2 linked regions of the Oreochromis niloticus genome follow. The protein of the gene in region 2 purifies or fractionates together with the protein of the main gene of each other region. This does not show direct contact. Links are inferred from orthologs where the notes say so. Each region holds a gene or a part of one and is shown on either strand. Other genes may lie near its edges.

What was found.
Region 1: the proteins of slc30a5 (region 2) and mettl9 purify together in Homo sapiens (co-immunoprecipitation; 3 studies listed by BioGRID and IntAct, with this or other methods). This does not show direct contact. The link is inferred for Oreochromis niloticus from reciprocal best matches to the Homo sapiens genes SLC30A5 and METTL9.

Annotation. Positions count from the first base shown.
Region 1 is NC_031973.2:26,775,832-26,783,740, forward strand, and holds the start of mettl9 (protein-L-histidine N-pros-methyltransferase), read right to left. Parts: upstream 3,313-7,909; 5' UTR 2,705-3,312; coding exon 2,665-2,704; exon of another isoform or gene 2,538-2,664; intron 2,515-2,537; exon of another isoform or gene 2,503-2,514; coding exon of another isoform or gene 2,466-2,502; coding exon 2,332-2,465; intron 1-2,331. UniProt on the Homo sapiens protein: Protein-histidine N-methyltransferase that specifically catalyzes 1-methylhistidine (pros-methylhistidine) methylation of target proteins.
Region 2 is NC_031972.2:31,370,649-31,378,758, reverse strand, and holds the start of slc30a5 (proton-coupled zinc antiporter SLC30A5), read right to left. Parts: upstream 3,431-8,110; 5' UTR 2,972-3,430; coding exon 2,901-2,971; intron 1,510-2,900; coding exon 1,387-1,509; intron 1,076-1,386; coding exon 1,009-1,075; intron 774-1,008; coding exon 688-773; intron 1-687. Other genes in the region: annexin A1-like, read right to left, coding at 4,375-4,431, 4,557-4,679, 5,321-5,379, 5,683-5,778, 6,594-6,687, 7,115-7,251, 7,463-7,553, 7,965-8,078. UniProt on the Homo sapiens protein: Together with SLC30A6 forms a functional proton-coupled zinc ion antiporter mediating zinc entry into the lumen of organelles along the secretory pathway.

The DNA.
Region 1 (7,909 bases), on a different chromosome or scaffold from region 2:
TAATTGAGCTTAAAAAGTGGCCAGCAGGTGTCAGGCAGTTTTGAATCCACTGATACAACCTCGGTGTTGTGCCAAGTGATTTCTGATGTTTCAATGTATATTTTTAAGGGTTATACATTTGCCTATACTGGGCGTAACAGAATTTATGAAGAAGTTGTATATAAAATGAAGAAATGACCATTTATGACTGTGTTAGAGTACCTACATTTTAAATCAATGCAGTTCATATTTTTATAAAACTGTTATATTTGTTGAAATAGCCAGATCTCCCTTTAAAAAAAAACAACCAAACAAACAAACAAAAGCAGACATATGTACAGGGAGTGCAGAATTATTAGGCAAATGAGTATTTTGTCCACATCATCCTCTTCATGCATGTTGTCTTACTCCAAGCTGTATAGGCTCGAAAGCCTACTACCAATTAAGCATATTAGGTGATGTGCATCTCTGTAATGAGAAGAGGTGTGGTCTAATGACATCAACACCCTATATCAGGTGTGCATAATTATTAGGCAACTTCCTTTCCTTTGGCAAAATGGGTCAAAAGAAGGACTTGACAGGCTCAGAAAAGTCAAAAATAGTGAGATATCTTGCAGAGGGATGCAGCAGTCTTAAAATTGCAAAGCTTCTGAAGCGTGATCATCGAACAATCAAGCGTTTCATTCAAAATAGTCAACAGGGTCGCAAGAAGCGTGTGGAAAAACCAAGGTGCAAAATAACTGCCCATGAACTGAGAAAAGTCAAGCATGCAGCTGCCAAGATGTCACTTGCCACCAGTTTGGCCATATTTCAGAGCTGCAACATCACTGGAGTGCCCAAAAGCACAAGGTGTGCAATACTCAGAGACATGGCCAAGGTAAGAAAGGCTGAAAGACGACCACCACTGAACAAGACACAAACTGAAACATCAAGACTGGGCCAAGAAATATCTCAAGACTGATTTTTCTAAGGTTTTATGGACTGATGAAATGAGAGTGAGTCTTGATGGGCCAGATGGATGGGCCCGTGGCTGGATTGGTAAAGGGCAGAGAGCTCCAGTCCGACTCAGACGCCAGCAAGGTGGAGGTGGAGTACTGGTTTGGGCTGGTATCATCAAAGATGAGCTTGTGGGGCCTTTTCGGGTTGAGGATGCAGTCAAGCTCAACTCCCAGTCCTACTGCCAGTTTCTGGAAGACACCTTCTTCAAGCAGTGGTACAGGAAGAAGTCTGCATCCTTCAAGAAAAACATGATTTTCATGCAGGGCAATGCTCCATCACACGCGTCCAAGCACTCCACAGCGTGGCTGGCAAGAAAGGGTATAAAAGAAGAAAAACTAATGACATGGCCTCCTTGTTCACCTGATCTGAACCCCATTGAGAACCTGTGGTCCATCATCAAATGTGAGATTTACAAGGAGGGAAAACAGTACACCTCTCTGAACAGTGTCTGGGAGGCTGTGGTTGCTGCTGCACGCAATGTTGATGGTGAACAGATCAAAACACTGACAGAATCCATGGATGGCAGGCTTTTGAGTCTCCTTGCAAAGAAAGGTGGCTATATTGGTCGCTGATTTGTTTTTGTTTTGTTTTTGAATGTCAGAAATGTATATTTGTGAATGTGGAGGTGTTATATTGGTTTCACTGGTAAAAATAAATAATTGAAATGGGTATATATTTGTTTTTGTTAAGTTGCCTAATAATTATGCACAGTAATAGTCACCTGCACACAGATATCCCCCTAAAATAGCTAAAACTAAAAACTACTTCCAAAAACATTCAGCTTTGATATTAATGAGTTTTTTGGGTTCATTGAGAACATGGTTGTTGTTCAATAATAAAATTATTCCTCAAAAATACAACTTGCCTAATAATTCTGCACTCCCTGTATGTGTGTGAGATATATATATATATATATATATATATATATATATATATATATATATATATATATATATATATATATATATATATATATATATATATATATATATATATATATATATAGATAGATCTCTCTCTACCTCTCTCTCTCCACACACACGTCACTTTGCCAAAAAAAGCACATGTGTCTACATTGTGACAGGAATGAAGTTCGTGGCTCAAAATTACCCTCTCATACCCACGAGAAACTTGTTTGCCATCCTTTTCACATATTATAGATCAACAAGTCAATAGCAGTTTAAATACGGGCAATAATTTTTGTGCAAATACCGGAAATCACTTTGGCAAACGATCACTTTTTAGTCCAACACCTGCACAATTGATTCAAACTTCCCAGTATTTCACAAAGCGTCGTTTTACCCTTTACAGAACCCCCGCTGTCGCGACAAGGACCATTCGCAGGTAACCTACCTTTGTAACGTCTATCGTATCCAGGTCGCTCAGCATGTTCACCAGGAGGGAGCGGACAACCGGATTTCGGATGTACTTCCCGGTCCACATCCTCCTGATTGAGAGCAGAAAGGCGACGTAACCTACGACCCACCCTACAAAAAGCAACGTCCTCAGCTGCAGAGGACACATAATGAACAAAGTCTTGAGCAGAAGAGATGACAAACCGAGAGAGAAGAGGCAAAGTGGCCAGAATGCCGTGGTTAATATTAGATGATGTTAAAGAGGCGAACAGCAGCCACTTGCAAAGCAACACGCAGAGGCATGTGTCCGGTTACACGACGGCAAACAAACCTGCGGGGAAAGCAGAGGATTCAACAAGGCCCGTTACCATGTACTTAATCCCACTGTTAGCTTATTATATTCAATTCAGTGCCATCTGTAGGGTCTCTGCCCAATATGACAACAAAAAGGCAATGCTTTGTCTTCTTTTGGCTTTATTGGAGGCGTTTAAACCGCTTATGCGCGCTTTACCGCCACCCTATGCTTAGGCGTGTCCATTAGACCTAAAAAACCGGTTTCCAGGACCTATCACCTCATTTAAAACCCAGCAATTATTTAAAGCGCCCGTGAATCATTTCCTGCAATATGTAAAAGTTTTTCCAGTCGTTTCCTCCCCAAACCACAGCTTATTGTAAGTGAATATTTTAAAGATTGAGGTTGCCACATGACATCACCTGTTAGTGAAGTTCAGTTTTTAAGGTTTGAGCAGAGTGTTCGCTGTAATCTTGGCATTGTGCAACCAGGCATGATGCAAGGTTTGATCTGACCAAGAAACAAGAGCATGCTCACTGGCTAACAAATGGTCAGTGACCAATGAACAAACTCTGGATAAGTTACTGCACTATAGGACTAGAAATGTGAAGATGCACCTCATTTTATTCAACAGCCTGAAAGTAGCAACCAATCTCAAACGGGAATGTTTAAAGAGGTCAGAGCAAGGGAACTCAGGGCCAGTTTTCCATAGACTCCTGGTATCCTGCAGTCTTGTGACAGAGTCACCCTCCAACCATAAACAGGAGCATGTTTATGGACTGATATAAAGGCTATTCTACACTAGGAATGTTTCCTCTAGAAATCTAGCAAGGTTTAAAGATATTTAAAAAAAAAAAAAAAAAAGTCTGTTACTTGCACCAATGAGCAAATATGTGAATTTTTCCAACCAAACTAGTAAGCATCTAAATAGTACACAATTTTGTCCAAATATGGTTACTTCTGGATCAAAACCAAATGCACAACAACAGTGGCTATTGCTGTCTTTTTTTAGTTGGCATTGATTATACAAAACATGAAGACAATGCAATGTTGCAAGGCCTCAGTTTCAGACAAGACTGCAAAAGCGAAATGGGGCACTGAAATAATTTAAAGCAATATGGGAGAATTTGAAGTGCCTGAAGGTGTTACAAAAGATGCCATCAAGAGGCAAGAATTGCTTCTCAAAGAAATTTGATTTGTCCCTTTAATCACTGCGTCTCCCCATCTTGCAGTTTAGCTATCTTTGCATTCCCATTACCAGCAGGCATACAGAGATGATGTTGGCTGTTGCATATTGACATTATGCCAACAATTCATCCACTGAACTAAAATGAGTCAAGTTCCCTCTTGTGGCTTCTCAAACCTATTAGAGTTTCAATACACGACAGAAGTCTTGCTGTGGGTAACAGACAGCCATGGAGAAACCTTTAACTGATTGAATCAACTTAGGCATCATTTCATAATTCATAAAATATGTGCAAAAAACATCTGCCATTTAAAAGCAAGAAAACACACTTCACCAGATTACCACTAAAATGCTAACGATGTAAAAATGAGGTCATTTAGCATCAGTTTGTCAATCGTCTGCAGCAGCTCAAAGATGTGAGAAGCTTTCCTTTAACTTTACAGTTTCATTTGTTTTACTGGGAGAAGCTTCTAAGAGAATTCTGTGTAAAAGACTGTCTAGACATTGTTTGAATTGGTTTTCCTTACTTTAGGTTTCAAATAATTGAAACAACTGCACCATGTCCTGTTTTGCTGCTCAAGAGAACTTTTTCATACTTTGCATGGTTAGAACAGCCAGCAAGATGAGTCACATAGTGATCCTAGTGATTGACCTTGGAAATAAAGAGTGTGTTCATCTCTAGTCTGTTTCTTTCCCAAAGGGAATACCACATGATAATCCTAACAAGGCCGTGCACACAAAAACAAACTCCACTAAGAATAGTTCAAATATTGACTTTGTGAAAGTTCTCCCAGATGAATTCACTCAGGGCTTTCAAATACAAAGCTCAAAAGCAACCTTTTTGAATTTGATCTTCAAATGTCTCCTTTCCAAAGCTGAAAACTGCTGGAAGCTGTCACTCATTTACATTTATATGGTTTAGATGAAAATGTTATAAATAAAAATGTAACTAGAACCCAAGAGAAGCAGCAGTGGAAGCCTTCTTTGTTGTGAAAAAATATTATATTTTAATTTTATTAAAGATTATATTCTATATAACATTAAAGTATAGTACAGTGTCACACTATAATTAACAGAAAGGGAGGTGTGCAGACATGTCCTCGACATGGACAAACGCATCCAAGAGGCTCTCTGGGAGACATTTCTACAGATATGCAGTGAATGCCCAGGAAATACACGGACCCTGGAAGCAGTGTTTGAAATTCAGCATGTGTTACATACCTGCACGGCGCGCGAAGAGATGAGGCTTACCTGCACCTGCAGAAGTAAACGAATTTCAACACCTCCTGCTACAGCTATTTATTTCCGGACATAATGAGCAGATAAAAAGTGGGCGTGGTTGGCTGCACTTGTTGTTCGAAGACCACTTGATGCCTTTGGAAAATGAGAAGGAAAGAATAAATTTTGGACTTCTTATGTGATAATTTTTCTCGTCTTATTTTGACCTTATCCTTTATAACTTTCTAGCTCCTCTTTTCATCTCACAATTTGGTATTCTATCTTGCCATCTGCATGTTTTGTCCCATCACTTAGATTTTTCCCTCATAATTTTAAACAATTTGTCATGCCTTCATTTTCTTTTCAGTTTTTCAAAACTCTCACCATTGACCTTTGTGGTTTCATAATGATAGTTTTCTTTTTAAAAACGCCGACTATTTTAGCTGATCATTTTAACATGCAAGTCAAATTGTGACAATTTCTTTAAATCATGACTAACTTTTTTGGTCTTTAACATTTCTGGATTTGGTTTTTCTTTTTAATGGCCGAAATTGACTTCTATACTATACAAGACTGTAAACGCGAGGTAACAGAAAATCGCGTTGCCTTGAATTTGACTAGGAGTAATGTTAGTAGCAGTGTTTCATCAGCAGATGTCGCTACTACATCACCGCTCTGCTAGCTCTCTCTCACTCTTCTCTCCTTCGATGAAACGCCAGCAGGGTCCACTCAGGGAAATAAGCTTCTAACAAGACTTACTTAATACTGACTAAAAGTGGTCTGAGGATTTAACTCACACTGCCATCACACAAACAGTCAAATTTAAATCCGTCAAGAAAACCTAAGCAAACACACAAAAACAACTAGGGCTAAAATAAGCAATTAAAGTACATAAATTGGGGAAATGGCTACTTAATAGCGAGAGCTTTGCTTTGTAATAATAGTACTAATATTTATTTTTTAATAATTATTAATAAAAAACAACTTTTGTTTTAATATGACGGTCATACAGTAGGTTGGTTACTTACCTCCGTTAAGTTAACCAACCCTAAGAAGAACGCTAGATCGAGTTGTGTAATTTTCCCTTCACAATAAAATCATATAAAAGTGGAAGCCAGACAATCTAAGGGTTATTGCTCAGTGGCGTCAGAAACTGACGTTGAATTTTCCGGTCCGAACATAACTCTGTGCCATCTGATATTGAAAACAAGCAAAAACAAAGGAAGTTTGACAAGCAAGAATCCAAGACTTGTTGCGCAACTTTACTTTGAAAGTTTCTACCAGAAGTTGTGTCAGTGTTCGCGGGTCTCTTGACGGTGTAAGTCCGTCTTGCGCTACCCTGAGCGCTCTTCTTACTCGGTTGTGAGCTATCTTATTACAGCACCGTAGTTCAGCAGGTGAGAACCTTTTTTCCTTCTTTAAACCTGTTCATTGTGAACAGACTAAAGCAGACTAAAAAGAGACGGACTCGGTTAATAGAAATACGACAGGATTATAGTAGGAAGGACGGTAGCTGGGACACCTTGATAGTTGAGATTGGTAACTTGGCGAACTAGATTTGAACGATGAGAGCAGACGGCAGTCCCAATAAAATGCGTCCACAAGTCGCATGATCCTGTTTTTTTCACTTACAGGCAAATAGCTGAACATGTACGATAACTTTGAACGAGCTATTGGCGTTTTCCAGTAAATTTCCCTGGTAGGCAAGGACCTTGTTTTCATAAATCACCAACTTTCAGGGCTTTTTCCACCCATCTGTGCTTCACGGTGGTGGAAGAGGTGTTATGGACTTGTGATGTTCATATGATGCTATTGCCGATGTTTGGATTTCATAAAGTTCTCAATTTTTTGTATATATTACATTTGTCCGTTTGCTGCAGTGGGATGTCAAATGAAATTGTCCCAGTGAACAATAGAGGTTTGGTCTGCTTGCTATTGAGCTGAATATTGCAGAGAAAATTAGGTCTACAACATATACATCTAGTCTGAAAAGTCAACATTTTCAGACTAGAGAAAATTAGACTGAAGAATTTCTCTTACAGTGTAGTGCAACTCAAGGATTTGTCACTTATCACTTTGGTCATCCACGATCACCTACGGTGTAACCCTACTGAAGTAAGCTCTCTATCCACTTTAGGCTATCATGCCAATTTTGGCTTCCTCGTTTACATTGTGCATTGCTCATGTTAGTGATGGGCTGTGCAGTTGTTTACTGCCTGTAGAGGAGCCTGGCTAGTTTTAAACCTTGTGTCAGTACAAAACATGCATTGGCATCTATTGCTAGGCTACCCTGCTGCATCATCACCTAGAAGTCTGCAGCAGAATAGCTGAACTATGTGGAGATCGTGCCGGCAGAGCACTATTTCATCCAAGACAGCTTCCTCTGGACTCAGACTGTTTTGTTTTGCATACAGACAGAATCTAATTGGACACTGTTTGACTGTGAAAAACCCTGTTTAATCTGCCTCAGTGGTAAGTTTGGAAACCCAGGGAGGCTGTCTCTAAGTTTCCCTGAGATCAATTGTATGGTCATTTTGTGTCCCCCTAGTACACAAAATGCACTTGCTAACCCACACATCTGTGATTTTGAACAAATTGGTTCTGAAGTGGCTCTGCCGGCTGGTTCTTCTCAGAGAGAAAAACACAACTTTTTCTCCCAATAACGTAAGCTTGCAGAATGCCTGGCATTGCTTCACTGAAAAGATGCTTCCTCTTAAAGGTCAGGGGGATGTTATCAGTGAACGGAGACCATGTTGCTGCACGGGAAGAGTTGGAGATTAGTTGCACACTCCAGAGGGACCTGGCTTCCTGCATCAAAGAAAACAAACAAATGCTGGGTCAAGTTTAAGTCACTTGCTTATTCCTGACTGGCTTATTGAT
Region 2 (8,110 bases):
ACAGATATCCCCCTAAAATAGCTAAAACTAAAAACAAACTAAAATCTACTTCCAAAAACATTCAGCTTTGATATGAATGAGTTTTTTGGGTTCATTGAGAACATGGTTGTTGTTCAATAATAAAATTATTCCTCAAAAATACAACTTGCCTAATAATTCTGCACTCCCTGTACAGCTGTGAGTCTGCAGACACTCTCATAAACACTTGTAGGAGGTAGGGATAGCGTAATAAGATAGAAATTATTCACAAAAAGTTCAATTAAATGCAGAAAAACTAAAGTAAACAAGTAAAAATCTAAACAAAAGCCAATAAAACGCCATGTAACAAGCTGAATATAATACAAGAACAGCTCTGTAAAGTAAAATACTTGCTTACTACATTAAATTACCACTTTAAAGTAGCTGTGTAAAATGAGATGCTACTGTACTAACTGAAGAAACATGCAAATATAAAGACATAAAGACAGGTGTCAAATAATTCTAGTGGAAATTCTGCCAGGCAAAGCAGGGTTGTGTCCTTGTACACCTCTGGCTGACCTGACTGTCTTGTTTCTTTCAAGAGACCACCAAACAACCATTTTTAGTCCAAAGAAACACAATGAGACTCGGGGAGGGATTTGAACTGTTTTTCCTGCACCTCTAATGCTGCATTTTGTTTTATTTAACTACTGTTTAACTACTTCTTACCTAAGAGGTCCACAAAGAGTTAGGCCGAAGAAGCCCAGGAGGGATATGACACAGCTGAAAACAGCATGCTTTAACAACTTTATCCACTGCAAAGAAAGCAGATTCATCAACAGACATTAACACAATGCACAAGGTGTTTTTTTTCCTTTTGCAAAGCCAGACTTAAAATATCTTAAGCATGACATATATAAGAAAGGCTATAACAAAATCACCAAATATTTAGCAAACATTCACGTGTTCAAGCTAATGAACAACAGGAAAAAGAACAGGAAAATTAGAGGTTGAAAAACTGACAAATTTAAAAGGTAAAGTCCAACAAACCTGTCTTTTTGAGATGACTTTTCCAGATGAAAAAGGTTTTTGGAAAAAAAGCAGAAACACTGCACTCCTAAGACCAAAACAAACAACCAAAAAAAGTATCAGCATGTTTTCACCATCCATAAATACAAAATTAGCAAAAGGTCTTGGTGAATAATCACATTTTGTCTTTTAACTCCACCTCAAAAACCTCAAACTCACTCACTGCAGCTGGTAACACGTTCAGCTGAGATGATGGACATTAAATATCTATTCATCGCTCTTATTGAGCAAGTGTGTGAAGTCAACAAAAATTGACCAGAATAACTGTAATTAAGATTTTTGTCACTACAGAGCAGCCCTAACTAACAATAATACATAAAACAAACAAAGAGTACTTACCCTAATTTCAGTATGAAGATGAACTGAACTATGTGAACCACTTTGAGGATATCGTATGACTCAAAGATCCCAAGAGCTTTGAGGACCTTCGAGATGACCAGCAGAACAATGTACCTGGTTAACCTGTACAAGGAAAGAACACACTACACATTAGTACAGACTGTGGTGATAAGAGTAAAATCAACTGTCATTTACACTGATGCCCCTCCTAAAATCTAACACCATCTCTTTTTGTCTTGACCATATTAGAGGTAGAGACAGGTAAAAAGAAAAACTTTAATTCACTGATGGTTTAAAGAGAGTCTGTGTGTTCCTTTTTTGCATCTCAGACTTTCAACATAACAACACGTCATGCCACCTACAGAAACACTGAAAATTATGCAGTGATTGGATTCATTAGTCATGGGCAGGAGAAGGAGTACAGAGCACTAGTTGAATGATTTTAGACATAGAGAGACTCTCTAAGTCTTTTGTGGTGTGATCTAAGACAGCGGTCCCCAACCCCCGGGCCATGGACTGGTCCGTGAGTCGTTTGGTACTGGGCCGTGAGAGTTGAGACTCGGGTGTGAAATGCATGGTTTTCAGGGTTTTAATCGTTATTTTTTACCGTTTTTTATCATTAACTCTGTTTCCCTGGGTGTTTTCCTGTGTTATTATTACATCTTTTTTTGTACCGGTACTGGTTTTATGCTGTTTCTGTATTTATCTGCGATACTTTAAAGGCCGGTCCGTGAAAATATTGTCAGACATAAACCGGTCCATGGCCCAAAAAAGTTGGGGACCGCTGATCTAGGAGGAGGAATGATCTGCTTTTGAATGTGAATAAGACCAGAGAGATGGTGAACAACTTAAGCTGTGCATATCCTGGGACAGGATGTTGATGTGGTGGAGGAATACAAGTACCCATGTGTCCACATCTACAACAAGATGAACTGGAAGTCAACGACAGAGGGTGTATAGAAGAAGAAAACGATCAAGCTCTATTTCCTAAGCTATAGTTTGAAGATTTTCTCAGTTAGTTGTGGTGAATGGAGTGTAATGTGCTGTGGTCTGCTGGTGATTCAGCATCACAGCCCGTGACACAACAGACTGGATAAACCAATTCTTAGACAACCCCTGATAATTTTTAGATGTCCACTAAAACATAGCATGCTAGAGTCAATCTTGAAGGTTTTTATACCAACATACCGCTCAGATTAAGGGCATAATTAATACTAATTAATTAATAATACTTAATAATAATGTAATGACTGTTAGTTTATAAGTAAATCTGAACACTTTTTGTCATAGTGTTCTTAACTATGGTGTCTGGTTGCAAATATCGGACACAACAAACAATGGGAAATAATAATGGGTTTTCCACTGCTGTGGACAATTTATAGCGTAATCAATTCTTCATAAACGCTAACATATGGACTACAGACTCATGGATGAGATTTGACTGATTCCGTGACATAAAAACAGTTAAATCAGTTTAAACTGACTGAGTTTTTAATGAAGGGTGGAGAACATACCTGGAATCGGGCACTTCGACCATCCCCAGCTGACCCCCTGAGAGCACGTTGCTGCTGTATTTTTCTTCCATTTTCAAGCTCCCCAAACCACCAGCTCCACTCCACCGACAGTTACATCTGTTACTTGTGCATCGTTTACATCGCTGCTGGCGGGAGAGTCAGCTTAAACTACTGTCTGTTCACTGCCGGAGAAAATAAACGGGCTTCTTCTGCGTCCTATTCATCCTCCCGTCAGTGTCTGATGTGTAAACTACAATCAGCTGGTAGCCTTGTTAGCGTATTAGCCGGCTAGCTAGCCACTTTTCCCCCAAAGTTTCCAGTGGCGTCACGTCCTCGGTGTACGGTTCACGTGACCCAGGCGCATGTGGACTCGCGGTCAGAAAAAGATAATGAAAAGTTATGAGTCTGAAGTGGCCGCAATAACTGAGAAAATCCGCAATGACAGGATAAAGAAAATCAAACACCCAAGCTGCCCGTGTTGCCACGACACTTCCGGACACGGTAAACTGTCCACGTCACGTGCAGTTATTCGTCAGCCTTGCGCCTGCGCAGATGATGAGGATAGGGTTTTTTTTAAACTTTATTTAGAAAGTTGTTTTATATACTTTTTATAAACATTTTCGACGTTTCTTTCTTTCTTTCTTTCTAGAGAAACATACAAACATATTTTAAAAAGTTGTCCTGTGTCGTGTCCTCCGTTTATGCTGTGTGCTCCTCTGCTTCGCCTGTTCGGTTTGTTTTTCTTCTACTCTGTATGTTTTTGTTTCTCCTGTGGGTTTCCAGCAATGAGTTTTGAGTTCATATTTTGTCTCCTGGGAGACGTAAACCAAGTGCTGCTATCTGGGACCAAATGCTGCTTACCACTCAGTGTTATGAGCAATTTTTTAACCAGATGCAAAACATACCACATTTCTTTTCAGTCCTTTCAAATAAAAGTCTCATACATTTTGGCATTGGAGATTTGGGTTTTTTTTGTTGTTGTTTGTTGTTGTTTTTTGTTGTTGTTGTTTTTAAAAAAGCATTTTGTGTTTTCAAAGCACTAAAAAAAATGTGCATGATATTAACCAATTCAAAACTTTATTTTAACCCTAGATGGTTTTGCCAGTAGGTGGAGGCTATGGGCTTATGTAATATAAAAGCCTTACTTCTGATACAAAGTAAAGATTTTGAAGATTAAATAGAAAATACTGTACTTGATTTCCCATTTTATCTTCTGCATTTCCAATAACCAAATATATTTTAATATACATTTCTACAACTTCCTCATACGTTATCTTTCAAAAGACATTAAAAGAAAAAGAAGAAATACATTTTGCCAGAAAGAAGGCATGAAATGCTTGGTGCTGGAATAACTTCTTTATTAAAGTTTAATCTCAAAAGAACAGAGTAGTCATGCATTTCAGAGTTAAAGCTGTGAGTATTTAGTGGAATAAGTTGGTCTCGGTTTCCAGAGTAAAATGGTAACAGATGAAGTTCAAAAAGCTCCACACAGGCTAAGCAGGACTTTCCGATAGTGCTCCTTGGTGTCTTTCTGTGGAACAAAGATATTATTAGCTGAAATATTCAGATACTGTATGCTGTCATTTGAGTTCACAATTAGTAAAAGCAACATAATAACAATGGGTTTTTTGTGTTTTGCTTTTTTTTTTTTTTTACCTCTATGTCATCATTTAGGGATCTTTGGTGACAGTTCCAGTATACCTCCTTGATCTTCTTGAGGTCGACCTCAGAGCGACTCACCAGTATCCTGTTGAGAGTTTTCTCACACGTGCCTGGTTTCTGTGAGAGCAGAGCAAAGTTTTGGTTATTGAATACTGTAAAAAATAATCTAAAAGGTTATGCTGTACAGACGTTATGTTGGCGTTAAGCTCCAAACACTTATTCAAGAGTTAACCTTTCAGTGTTTTGGGTGGCCAAGAGTACGGACTCCTTCAGCAACTCGCGGTGTTCCTGTAGCTGTGCAGTATCCTAACACAACTAAATAGTATTTACAAGTACTCTCAACTGTCTGAGGCAAAAGTCTAAGCCATTCATCGTGGCATTTTCTAAATGCCATTTGTTAAACTAAGGTTATATAAAGTAAATTTAAAACAAACTAGTGCTGTTATTTGGTATGCTGTTAAGTACTGTATACTTAATATAGCTTAAGTCTTTAAGGGGACTTAATTTTTGAGGGAACAAGTAAGTGAAGTAAGTAAATAAGTGAAAAAGTGAATCTGTTTTGCAATGTAGATACTGCAGAAGTGCTCAGTTTCAAACTGCTTGAACAGTTTAAGACATCCAGCCTACTCACAGACTTGAACCTTCCTTTTAAAATACATAAATCAATGTACATTTATCTGAATGGATGAATACACACACAAGCGCACACACACACACACACACACACACACACACACACGGAAAAAAAAAATACACACCTCTAAAGCCTTAACAAGCTTCTGGGCAAAGACAGCTGGTGTGTTCCAGGCATATTTTGCTATGGACATCAAAGAGAGATAAACAGTTACAAAATGATCTCAAGTTGAGTCCAGATGCTACCTCACAGCTGTGTTATAGCCCATACCGTGGAAATCTGTTTTCAGGTTATAATCAATCTTAAATATTTCCTGATCTAAATGTACACAAGACGTGCTATGGCATCACATTTGTGATACACATTTCCTGCTCACGAGAGGATGGATTTCATCACTCGCACGTCCTTTGACCTCAGCCCACCCCCACCTTGAACAGAAAATAAAATGAAAACTACATAATCTGATGAGGACAAACATCAACTTACCAAGGTCGATGAGACAATTTTCAGTGTCTCCTTTCAGCTCCTTTTTCAGCACTGTGGGTAATTTGACGTCCGTTTGTTTGCTATATGCCTCCAATACTAACAGGTAAACAGACAAACAGGTAATTCTGGGTTATTAGACCAAATCCAAATATGTTCTTAAGGCTATGCAGCATATTTAATTAGCAGCTGAGGAAATAAATAGGTTTTAAAATATTTATAAACATAAACATTCAGATTTTAGTGAACAGTGAAACATTAGACTGAAGTTCTAAAAAAGAAGAAAGCAAATACCGCATTACTTCACCCAACAGCAGCTTCGATTGGAAATTTATGCGATTGTACGACAGATTCCAGGATCATCAGTTCAAACAACTCTATGCAAATACAACTTATTCAGAAGGGTCACCATTTTGCTGAGGTTTGGAAGAAGACCTTCAAGTTCAACTGAAATTTACAGCTGCCCACATGGAAGCGCTAAATGCCTTCTCAAGAAAGGTTTCATGGTCTGATGAGACAAAATTGAGCTATTTGGCCACAGTGACAGGAGGTATGTTTGGAAGAGTATAGCTGAGGCTTTCAAACCTAAGAAAACTGCACCAAGTGTCAAGCACAGCAGTGGTAGCATCAAGCTCTGGGACTGTTTTGCTGCTACTGATACATACATTGCACAAAGTGGGGTGGATAATTAAGAAGAAGGACTAGTTCCAAATTCCTCAGCTTTAAATAGTAAACAGACTTCATAACTCACTTAAAATCCAGACTGACTTTGACTCTGTATTGTTCTCACACTGCTGGGTGTGTTTCACCTCCTACCTGCAAGAGTGTGGTTCCACCTGTTTTTCTAGATGTACGTTGTGTCTAATGAGTCAAACCCAACCAAGAAGAAGTGTTCAGACTTTTCAAGAACTCACCTTTTCGGAGGTGAGGATAGCTGCGCTTGGTCATCAAGTCAATGAAGGTGGACACGTTGAATTTGCTGCCCTGCTCACATAATGTCAGCAGCGTCTACAGACAGACAAAAAAATGGATGATAATCATAATGACTTATACTTAACTGCAGTTCCTCTAGTGGCCACATGAGACTGGCTGCAAAAGTCAGCTACTGACTTCCACGGTAAAGTCCCTAGAATTACTACACTAATAAACATATTTACAGCCTGATACAAAGGACTGCTTTATTAGTTTGGTACTTAGCAGATAAAGCACAGTTTATGGGTGTAGATTGCTAACCAAGTGTGCTAATGTCCACCAACAACATGTTTGAATTAATGACCATCTTTTATACCCTCTGTGATTGTTACATTATGTGCACAAGAGAAACTAGTCCATATTTGGCCAAACGCCACAGATAGGAACCATCAAAACATCTTCTCACATAATTTGGTGACAACATAAAGCAAAATAGTTTAAGATTTTGGTTACATGAATTTACCTTTGTGTCTTTTGAAACAAGATCATTGTCTACGCGAGTGCTCTCATCTCTACCTCCACTTAGTAATTCCAGGAGGATCTTGGTGTAGTTGCCACTGGTCTCATTTTTAATAACTTCTTCCAGCTCTGTTTTGTACTCTGAGGAATCAGAAGAATTTCAGAATAATGGTAACAGTTTACAACAATATGATGGCCAAATGTGACTACAATAAGTCTAGCTTGCTAGCAGCTACAGACACTGGAGACACTTATGAGTGTCAGCTAGATATCTAAGATGTTGTATAAAATTCAATCTTAGTTCAGTAAACCCAAACAACAACCATGTGATATCACATGACTGTGATAAAACCTTGTTTGAAGGCCTTCTTGATCTCTTGAATCTCTTGGTTTGTTCTCGTTGCCAAAATCTCAGTCAGAACTTCCTCATCTGTGCCCATACCCTGTTGGATAAATCAAATAACAAAAATAATAAAATCTATAAACAGAAAGAAAAAAATATTTATTTAAATATCCCTCAAACAGAATTACAACTAAGTAGTTTTTTTATAACTTATTCTGATCAATATGTTTAGCTATTCCTTAACATTAGCATAAAAATATCCTTCAGTTCAAACTATGGTTCAGTGTGCTGCTGGGAGGGTTCTTGGCCCATACTGAACCCACTAGCAAATTTGTGATCACCATTTAATTCAGTTCATAGTAACACAACCTAAATGATAAACTTAGTCTAAATACGTAACCTCTTAATGAACTGAAAAAAAATTAAAACTATAACACTGCTTAATGAATTAAAACAAAAGAAGTAATATTGCCCCAAATCAAAGGTTTAGTACATAAACCACAGATCCTACCTTTGTGGCTTTCCTAAGTTCGTAGGCATCATAGTGAGCTGGTGTCATGAGCAGTCCCAGACAGATGACCTCCAAGTGTGCTGTCAGAACTGCTTTCAAATCGTCAGCCAGCTTCTGCAACACACAAGCATGATCTACATGAAGGA